Linked DNA regions of Nothobranchius furzeri. The protein of the gene in region 1 interacts with the protein of each later gene in a pairwise test. Links are inferred from orthologs where the notes say so. Each region holds a gene or a part of one and is shown on either strand. Other genes may lie near its edges. The genes, in order: RNA binding protein fox-1 homolog 2, psmf1 and hmga1a.

The links.
Region 2: the proteins of RNA binding protein fox-1 homolog 2 (region 1) and psmf1 interact in a two-hybrid assay, tested with the Homo sapiens proteins (2 studies listed by BioGRID and IntAct). The two-hybrid records come from large-scale screens. The link is inferred for Nothobranchius furzeri from reciprocal best matches to the Homo sapiens genes RBFOX2 and PSMF1.
Region 3: the proteins of RNA binding protein fox-1 homolog 2 (region 1) and hmga1a interact in a two-hybrid assay, tested with the Homo sapiens proteins (2 studies listed by BioGRID and IntAct, with this or other methods). The link is inferred for Nothobranchius furzeri from reciprocal best matches to the Homo sapiens genes RBFOX2 and HMGA1.

Annotation. Positions count from the first base shown.
Region 1 is NC_091752.1:66,556,047-66,559,646, reverse strand, and holds the start of RNA binding protein fox-1 homolog 2, read left to right. Parts: upstream 1-1,058; 5' UTR 1,059-1,831; coding exon 1,832-2,089; intron 2,090-3,600. UniProt on the Homo sapiens protein: RNA-binding protein that regulates alternative splicing events by binding to 5'-UGCAUGU-3' elements. Prevents binding of U2AF2 to the 3'-splice site.
Region 2 is NC_091743.1:68,640,089-68,643,050, forward strand, and holds the end of psmf1 (proteasome inhibitor PI31 subunit), read right to left. Parts: intron 2,276-2,962; coding exon 2,219-2,275; intron 1,432-2,218; coding exon 1,270-1,431; intron 1,078-1,269; coding exon 1,026-1,077; 3' UTR 618-1,025; downstream 1-617. UniProt on the Homo sapiens protein: Plays an important role in control of proteasome function. Inhibits the hydrolysis of protein and peptide substrates by the 20S proteasome. Also inhibits the activation of the proteasome by the proteasome regulatory proteins PA700 and PA28.
Region 3 is NC_091755.1:54,122,467-54,126,299, reverse strand, and holds the start of hmga1a (high mobility group AT-hook 1a), read right to left. Parts: upstream 2,373-3,833; 5' UTR 2,164-2,372; intron 2,082-2,163; exon of another isoform or gene 1,927-2,081; intron 1,286-1,926; 5' UTR 1,271-1,285; coding exon 1,172-1,270; intron 434-1,171; coding exon 353-433; intron 1-352. UniProt on the Homo sapiens protein: HMG-I/Y bind preferentially to the minor groove of A+T rich regions in double-stranded DNA. It is suggested that these proteins could function in nucleosome phasing and in the 3'-end processing of mRNA transcripts.

The DNA.
Region 1 (3,600 bases):
TTATGTCGAAAGAAAGGTGCATGGTTTCTGTAATCTATCTACGATGTCCTGAAGATAATATTATCTTTTTTAAATTCCATTCCCAACAAACAGGGTAACTCCCCAATTAAATCAGCAGCTGAAAAACACGATTAGAGAGTAACAATTCAACTCAAGCCTTTTTACAACGAAACTATGCTTTATTATTATTATTATTATTATTATTATTATTATTATTATTATTATTCATTTTAATGCAGGATGAACATTTGCTTTAATGTTGTGTTTGTGCTCAGAAATAAGAACAATCTAATCAATATCAGAACACTCAGTACCAGACTTTAGATCCACATTTATAATGAAAAGTGTCTCCCCGTTGACGTGCTGTTCTATCCTTCAGCCACTTGAAGGCGCTAAATGATTCAGAAAGAAAACCCCTTGTAACGGAATACTGTGCGTTACATTTACCCCCATGTCCAACTAAAATATTAAATGAAGTCCAGACAACAGAAGCCAGATTGGGTCTCATCGTAATTATTTATAATTCTTCAATTTTTGAAAAAGCTAATTGTAAAGACCGGTTTGCATATGTATGAAACAATTAAAAATATAAATATTTAATGTACAGTTTACATGTATTTAGGTTGCATTTTAAAGCTACAAAAGTCAAACATATCAATAAAACCTAAATGAATTAAATGTAGAAAATATGACTTTTAATGAATCTCATTTCTTTTCATTTTTGTCATGATAGTAACAAGATTTTATAATACACAGGCTATTTTAATACAACGTGAAGGAATGTGTTGACATTTTTTACTGAACTATGTAAATTGTTGCTGTTTTATTTTCTTTTTTTGGGGGGGGTGAAATGTATAAAAAATTGTTGTTGCTTTTTTCGATTTTTCTGTGTGTTGTTGTTTCTAATTTCCTTTATTTCTTTATAGACTTGAGGAATTTTTCGTCAGGTCTAAAATCGGTTAAACAATGAAGGTTTTCGTTTATTCGACCAAAAGACTGAAATAAGAATAAAGGAGGGAGCGGTGAGGCGGAGGAGGAGGTGGTGGTGGTGGTAGGTGGCGTTGGGAAAAAGGAGGAGAAGGAGACCAGGGAAGAACAGACCTCAGACCAGTCCGTTTCACCTCAACGTCTTCTGTCTAATCCCAGTCTTCGTGGTAAAATCTGACCTCGGATCAGCAACGCCAACACTGGGAGAGTGTGGGACTGAATCCAGAGGAAATCGTGCTCGTCGGTGGTGGCCAGGTCGACACGAGAAGACTCATCCACGAGTAGACCACGGCGGCGAGGGAACGGACAAGACGGGAGCGACTGAAAGGAAAAGCGGATACGGAGGAGTTTTAACCCCGCAACAGCAGCCAGCAGAGCGAGCTCTGGCTCTCCGCTCCACGCAGGAGTAGTGTGACGTTCTGCTCATTTCCAACATTTTCTATTCTTGGCAGCGGGAGTGAGGAGCTCTCCGAGCCACATTTATAAGGAGAGCTAGCGGAATGTAATGCTAGCGAGCTGGCTAACGTTAGCTAGCTAATTAGCCTATCAGGCATTCGCGAGTCGGACGCTTGATTTTATTAAAATAGGTCACTGCTTGGCGACATCTGACTCTGTTAGGGAGAGCCTGCTCTATTGTTGCTCTTTACGGGTTCCTAGTTCGGCCACAATGGTCCTGCTGGCTTAGCCAAAGCCAAGTTAAGACAATAAACAGTGCGAGCTTTTCATATTGATGAAAATCTGTTCAATATTATCCGCGTTGTGTGGGAAAGCCATTGTGAAGCAAACGGAAGAAAGGAGGTGAAAACAAGCTGCAGACTTTTGACTTGTGACCGCCTGTCGTCCAATGTTAATGTCGACCGACGTTGCATCTATAATGCTACCCGTTAATCGGGGAATAATGGACCGCGAAAGGGACATTGATACAGTAGCCGCCGGACCTCATGCGAGCGCGGCCGCGGGTCCAGCGGTTGTCCGGGGGATGAAACGGGGAGACCCGGAGCCCGACGCTCAGACTGCCGCTGCCCTGACCGACCTGGCCGGGGCGGAATGCAAGAGACCACGGATAGACGGGACCGGGAGCGTGGTCGGAGACATCGGACAGGTAGGATTACTCTAAAACCCGTCAGACACATTCGTGTGTGTTATGTTCTCATCTCTTCTGCTCACATTTGCTCCTCAGCATCATCAGGAGGGATGTTTTGACAGGGCCCTAACTCTCTTTCAGCAACAACACAACCCTGTCATCTTTGCAACAAAGAACAAAAACATTGTAACCAGACAGGGGGTTTATAATTTAGAGGCCAGTGAAGGAATATTGCGAAATGTGTCTCGTTGAGACTCGGGCTGTGCAGTGAAGGAGCAGCCCAGACAAAGGTAATATGATCCAGGCTCCATTGCTATGACAGACAGCAGCACAGCAAAGATCAGACATTCATCATGCCTGTCTCATATGAAAAGCTAGTGCTTCCTCCCATCCGGCAAGATTTTTAACACGTTTTCATTCAAATCAGCTAAAAATGATCAAATATTGTCATTTTTAAAAATGGATTTTCCCTAAATCCTGACACATGGCTGCTCCCCCCTTCTCGGTGTGGCTAGGTGTTAAAAGAGAGAGGCAGACAGGGATTGGGGGAGGGGTCACCACAGTGAAAGACAAAGAACAGAGTTTTTTTTTTGTCGCTGGAGGCTGAAGGAGCAAAAGGAGGCTCAGGGGGGCCTTTCTTAACTGCAGGTCTTCGCTGCATTCATGACTCGACAGCTGAGACAGCAAAGCATCTGCAGCCGGTTCTGCCTCTCTGCACTGATCTACTGTCTACAGTAAACCACTAGTTCTCTGGATTTGTTTGCTATTAGTCCCTCCATCTCCTCGGCTCATAAACACGCCGCACAGCTCTTTTTCTTACACCTACACGCATACAGTTTGAACTGGCATCTAATCCAATAATAGAGCAGGACAGTTTAGCTGATGTCTGGTGTTTTAGTTCAGGAAAATGGCTCTGAGAGGAGCGGCCAGACACAGCATGAGGTCACCTGTGTGCAACCGAATCCAGACGAGTTGGTAAAGCTCTATCAAAGAGGGGGCGCGTGGTCGACTGCAACAAGCGGATAGCATCTATGTTAGCATAATAAAGAATCAACCTTTAAGATTGGGGTAGAGGAAAAAGTAGAAGAAAAGCAAAATGATACAGTGCTGTACTTCTGATATCTTCTGCTTGTTTTCTGTTAGATGTTTCAGCAAAGCAAACAATTTCTAGCCTGCCAAGCCGTCCTATATGTGTGAATATATGGTCTGACCACGACCCATAGACAGAGCTCAGTTGTGGGGCGGAATCTACGGTTGTCTTTCAAACTGTCTTCGCACACACCTGATCAGTGCCAGAGCCAGTCAGAGCAACAAACAGAGTGATGTTTTCATCGCCATGGCAACCAGTCAGTAGGGCAGTCTGCCTTACGCCGTTGAAGTAGTTCTATTGAGTCATGTCTCAAAGAAAAACCCAAGTCTATATCGTCCAAAGTTGATGCCACAATTGTTTCAAACGGGCACCGTTCCTTAACCGGCACCATCTTTGTAGTTTTTTTATATCGCAGCTCTTGCGGTAATCCTAACAAACG
Region 2 (2,962 bases), on another chromosome or scaffold:
TTATTAAACCAATCATCTTTGTTTTTTATATATTCACTGGGTTTTATGTAGATGAAAAAAGTTCAGCCACCTTTGTGCAACGGACGATGGAAACCTCATCAGGTTTAGTAGGTCACACTGAAAATGGGAAATTATGATGCTGAGGGAAACTACAGACTCACATATGATTCCAGATCAATAAACATACTGAGAGCTGGTTGTTATGGTGTGTTTCTCTTAACTCGGTCGTTCATGCTTCTCAGAGGATGAAGCATTCAGGTCATCCTCACCAACTTTCTTTGTTTAAAGGGACGTCCTCAACATAAAATGTTGATTTTATGGTCCTGAAATAAATAAAAGTACTAGCATGCTGGTGACAGCACTGTTGGTTTTTAAATAATTTTATTGCACTTGTGATTTTAATTTAAAAAGCCATGTAATAATAATAAAAATAATAATCTTCATCCATTTCTTCTTCTTTTAGTTTACCTCTTCATCTTAACTTCCCATTTAGACCATTTAGGACTGAAGGTCATTTTTACTTTTCCTCTAAGAAGCAAAGCTGAGAAACCCTCTTTGGATAGAAAGCTGCTAATGTGTGAAGTAAATAAAAGGAAATGCTTAAAACAGCAACACGACAGGGTTCAAAGTCATTTTTATTTGAACTTTTTGCAGGAAATAATTATAAAGCCATATTGTTCTGTCAGCATGTTGAGCTGTTTGTCCTTCAAAAGCAGTTACGGAGTGTGATCGCTATTCAGAATAATGAAGGTCACAAGAAACTAGGAGTCTAAGATGAACATGTTTACCACAATAATCTGATTTTTTGTTTTTACTAAAGTTTCTTTAAAAATCAGACTTAATATTTTACATCACTAACGGGTTCTTCTGTGAGTCGAATCAAAGTTTTAATGTTGTGTGAGTGGAGGAATGAGAAGAATAACCCTCCTCTTCAGAGCAGATTGAAACTTTCAGGTCTCTGAACTGGATCCAGTTTTAGATCAGTAGCAAGCAGAAAGTTGAAAAGCAGGAAACACGGGTGGGCACTACATGAACATGTCATCGTAGCCAGGTGGGGGCATGTGGTCTGGATCTGGCCTAAAAACGAGGCAAAGAGGAGAAAGCAGTCAGAAAGCTGTCATTACTCTTCTGGTTTCTCTTAGTTTAATCTGAACAAAAAGTCCAGAAACTGTAGAAAGAACTAAAAATGTATCTGAAGCATCCGTTTTCTGGGGCGAACCCAGAAGTCAGCCCAAGGTTGTCGTCTGCTGAGCATCGTTTGCGTCTCACCCTGGTCTGTGACGTCCGATGGGTCCAAACGGGTCGAAGCGCGCTCCTGGGGGAACGGCTCCAGGAGGCAGGATGTCTGGTATGCCGCTAGACGGGTCAAAGCCGGAGCGAGGATACCCCGACCTCAACGGGTCGACTATCATCCCGCCGCCACCACGAGTTCTGGGGGGGATAAAATTAATTTTGTTTCCTTGTTATTTTTGAGCTCAAATACAAAAATTGGAACAAAAAATGACGGATGGATGTTAGAAGACGGTTTAAAAGCAAACTAACTGTTTTAATTACAGAGTGAAATTGGCTTATACCTGAGATTGGATTATACCGGCATGAACTCCAACAACTGGTCTTTTATTCTAAAGATTAGTAATCCTTCAAGAGCAGAGATTAGAGTTTTATATTAAAGGTGAAATAAATGAACAAAAACAGAACACCGGGCAAGAAGAACAATGAGACAGAGAAAAAGTATGTGAAGATACTATAATCCAACATAATTCTAGAAGGTGAGTAAAGAAATGCTTTATGAATGTTGTCAAAAACATTTTAATATACAGTTTGAATTAGTCAAGTGCCAAGATCCATCCATGGATCCATCTTGTTCCGCTTATCTGAGGTCCAGTCACTGGGGCGTCAGGTCCATATGGGAAGCCTGGACGTTCCTGTCCCCAGCTCTCTTTGTGGAATCCCAAAATATTCCTACGCCAGACAGGATAGATACAATACCTACAGTGGGCTCTGGGTCTTTCCAGACGGGCCCGGAAAACCTCCAGGGGGAGGCCACCTTGGATGCTCGAATCGATGCAGAGGAGCAGCGGCTCTACTCCGAGCCCCCAGTCAGGGTTAAGACATTAAATTTTCCTTAAAAATATACAGATTATTTCGGAGTCTTGCTAATACCTTTTTTTCTGAGAGAACACTAAAATAATTAGGACTGAGGGATGATATGACTCACCCAAAAGGATCCAGGTCTGCTCCTCCAACTGCAAACGGAGGATCCAAAGGATTGGGCCTGAAAAGAAACAAAAGCACAGACGTCAGTCTGGTTTCTTTAACCTAAAAATAAAATAATTATAAAACAAACATGAAACTATTTAAAATCTAGCATATTTATAACTTCCTTTATGGTTAAAATTTGCCAATATTTCTTAAAAACCTTTTGTTGCTTTTCTTGCGATAAACATAACTTATTTTAAGGCTGTTGAGTGTAATTTTTGATCTTTTAATACCACTTTTTAGCACATATTCAGTAGATAGCCTTAGCTTTGTTGTTTTCTAACAAACTAATCAGAACACTGAAGTAAAACAACAGAGTTCCAGCCGGCTGGGATTTCCACAGCAGACTCCAGGGAAATCAGGATGTGAAGAGATGGCTTTAAGCATCTTTGGAACAAAAACAGCCACATTTGGCAGAAATTTGAGACAATGTATTATAAGATCTGAATATGAGACAAAGAACGCTGTGCTTTAGTTTTGGGAAAGAGAATTTCAGTTGCTGATCATAAAAGTTTACTATAAATGCAAATCTTTATTTTTAGAGCATTGTCAGCGACCCAGAAACTGAGCACCGTGTTTGACTGATGGTAAATTCAAACAGGAGAATATTACTCCGTTTCCCTGTACTATACTGTATTTTTAAATGTTCTATATGTTCTATCCAACCTTCATCTGTTCTGTATTGGTCCTATCACCTCCTCCT
Region 3 (3,833 bases), on another chromosome or scaffold:
AGAAGAAGTAGGGCTGTGTGCTGGTTGGGGGCGGAGGGGTGCTTAGTGTCAGCCTGGAAACAGTCTTGCGGCCTCTGCACCTGCACCACACAGTGCATGACAAGCTGCAGGAAGCTGGAGGACAGGAAGTACAGGGTAAATATCAGGCCCCCCCTTCCACCCCCAAATAAAGCAGTTAACCAAGATTTATTGGTATTGATAATCACTTTGCCGCCCCCAATAGGGAGTCATGGCCGGGCTATTTGTGGCACCTTGAACTGCAGCCAATAAACATATATCAACAGCAGAGGATGAGGTTAGCTGTTGCAAACTACGGGAATATAAGTTTCAAACAAGACGAGCAATGACTTACCTTGCCCTTGCCAGCAGTCTTGTTTTTGCTGCCCTTTGGTCGCCCTCTGGGCCTCTTTGGAGTTGGTGACCCACTTGGCTCCTGGATATCAAACAGGTTATAGTTAATATCAAGAATGTTTTAATAGATGCCCAAAAAGGCTCAATTTTAGTGCACATCAAAACAATTGAAATCAAAACAAAAACTGACTGAGCAATCTGGCTGAACCGTAAACATCAGAGGGGACTGCCATAACATCTGAAAGTTCAGCAAATTCATGCACAACTCGTGGTTTAAACCGGCGTCATGGCCCACTCGTCTTCTGTTGCTCGTCTGATGTGTTGATCATCACAGCTCTTAGCAACCCAGCAACTCAATAGTAATACACAGCAGGCCAAGTGACATCTATGTGATCCACTCTGGGCCACAACTCTCCTATGTAATGCAGAAGAGGATGAGGGGGAGGTTAAAACCAGTTTAAAGGTGTTAGGTTACTGGTTGCTTACAAACTGGTGAGACATGCTGGGAATTTGCTGTACACCTCAGCAGTGGAAAAGCAGGGGGCAAATGGCCACAAGGCCATGCTCCTGCAGTCTGGGCTATTTTATTCTGGTCTCAAGACTCTGATATGCACAAACCTGCATGTGCGTCTAACTGAGCCTCAGCGATCACAAGAGGACCTGAGGCTCAGCACCACACCGGCCTGGTTCTGCATGCATTTAAGATCAAGTTTATTCCCATGGCATGCAAAAATAAAAATAAAAAATAATAATAATAATAATAAAACGACGGGGTGGTAGAAAATCAGCTAGTATACCAGAATAAATAGACACTACTTACGTCAGAGGTTTTCACCTCGAGCGATTTGCGGGGTCTTCCACGCCCTCTCTTCTCTGCCGCCTCCTTCTCTTTCGGTGAGACTGTCCCCTTGTCGCTCATATTTGCTCTTCCAACCTGAATGGATGATGATGATAATGATGATTTAAATAAACCCTACCGGCCGGCCTTGATGCTGCAAGAGGCGTCGAGTTCACACAGAAAACTGAGCACAGCGTGTACCCGTGAGCCACTAAACCCACTGACCGCAACAACAAACCAAAGATGACCGACCGCACCACGCACGGTTTAACCCAATTAATCCGCGCTGGTTTCCAGGTCTATTTCCGTCTCGTCTGCGCTCTGCGACACAAGAGGTTTACGCAGAAAACCGATCACAGCAGGCTTAACCTGCAAAAGACCACAAAACCAGCCAATTCCCTCCGGTACCGACCGCGCTTATAGGCCCCGCAGGAGCCCAAAGACCAGGCCTGCGCACGGAACCATCTCAGAGCAGCGTGTCTGCACGCCTGGGCCGCGGAGAGATCCACCGACACTCACACACCACAATGGCCGCGGCTCGTTTCTGGTTGCAGGCAACAAGCTTTGAGCTGAATGGCTTTTTAAAAATTAAGTGGCGGAGGGGAGAGCAGCAACCGAGGTCTCCGTGTAGCGGAGCGAGCCCGGACCGAAGCAACAAAAGACGGCTGACAACGTGCCGCCGTTTCCCGCCGGAGCTCCGGGCTGTTTGTAAAACCGGTGGTCGCATCCCCACTCACCTTTGTCACGGTGCTATCGCCTCCGTGCTAAACTCAGGTAGACTTGTTTCCGTTTGAAGCCCGGCTGGTGCGTACCCGGTTAAAAAGCTGATCTATAGGCTACAGCTTTTATTCGTCAGACAGCCCGCCCATTTAAAAAGCCCAGCTCACGCGCCTTAAAAACACACACAAACCCATTTAAATAAGCGAAAAGCTGAACTTTCTGCATTTTTGTACATGAAACATATTTATTTTTACCAGCACGGTGAGAAGTTTAATCCAAAGGTTTCCCTCGGTAGAGCACGTGCGTCTCGCGCAGATAAAGGAATGAAAGGCGCCGGAGTCGGACAGGAGGAGTTTTTGGACAATTTAAAGAACCGCCCTCAGGAGAGCGGGAACACTGGAGGGCGGGGATATGATAACGAGGGCCACCAACAGAACCAGAACAGCCCAACCTCCACTCAGCACCGCCGGTGTTCCGACTATCCGTGCCCCCCGTCGAAATATTATACTTTGGGGAAATGCGCAGCGCCTGCGCAGGCCGATTATTGCGTCACAGGGTGTTTACAAGTCGAGACGCGCTACCTGTGGAAGTTTACGTTTAATCTCGTCACTTATCTAGTTACTTTCAACTCGTCGAAGGTCACAGTACGTATTTCTTTAAGTTGTTATATAAAATTATTGCTTACTGTATGTTTACCGGACAGCTTGTGAATGGCTTCTAAAATATCGTTATTATAATGTAAACAAGACATTTCTCCCATTGTTTACATTCATTCTGAAAGAGTCCCAAATTAATATCCAAAAGTTTTATATTATACATATAATAAATTTATCATAGTTGTATAATAATCTCCAAAATTATACATTCAAACAAATAACTAAGTATTGGGGGGAAAGCAAAGTGAGTTAATTTGTCTAATAAAGGATTATAGAATGATAAGAGCTAACGTCTTACAAATCTCCATTTTTATGAATCACTTTCTTGACATGGGTGAAAGTAGTTGGTAAATCGTCATTGTTTTAGCATCTAAGGGGTTTTACGAAATGACTAAATTGCTTACAATCCACTTTTTTCATAAAATAAAATTAACCTACATTGTGTCATAGCCTCCACTGTCATGGCGCTTGAACTATGATGACGTCCCCCAATGTAAACAATCCCTTTGCTCATGTTTAAATAACGAGACTAAAAAGTAATTTAATTTATACATATTATTTAAATATATTAATAATATTATTTTGTACAAAACCCAAACGGAAACAATGCATGTGGAGCTAATTTTAATCTAATTTTCTTTTATTTGTTGTGCATTAAAGAAAAAACAATTATGTTTCATTTAAAATTCAAATGACATTTTTGAGCAGCTATTTCAGAATTATATTTGAATCTTAATTATATTGAGGAGTTTTTTTTCTTTATGTTGATTTTCCTTTCTTTTTTTTAATTATGCTAATCTTTAAAACATATTTGTGTATTCATTTTGTATGAAACCCTAAGAGAAACAGTAAATGTGGAGCTAATTTTAATCTACTAGCCGAAGTTTAGTTTGAATGAAATTAAATCGTAAACTCCCTATGAAGCATCGCTGATTTTCTCAAAGAATTTTACTGTTCTGTTAACATCGGTGCTCATCTACATGTGCAGACATGGTCCCTAAATTATTCTTGTATTAGGCAACAATTAATATGAAAAGTTTAACATAGATTTTTATTAAACATTTTATGAGTCATTTGAAATAAAAATTGTACTTTTTTGCTGCTATTTCAGAATTATATTTGAATCTTAACTATAATTAGCAAGGTTTTTCTTCATTATGGTTTTCTTTCTTCTTTTTTTAACCTAAAACTAATCTTTAAAAAAAAACTTGTACTTCTGTCATCAAAAGCTGGAAGGTGATTTACTCATTGATGTTGTTCACAAGCAA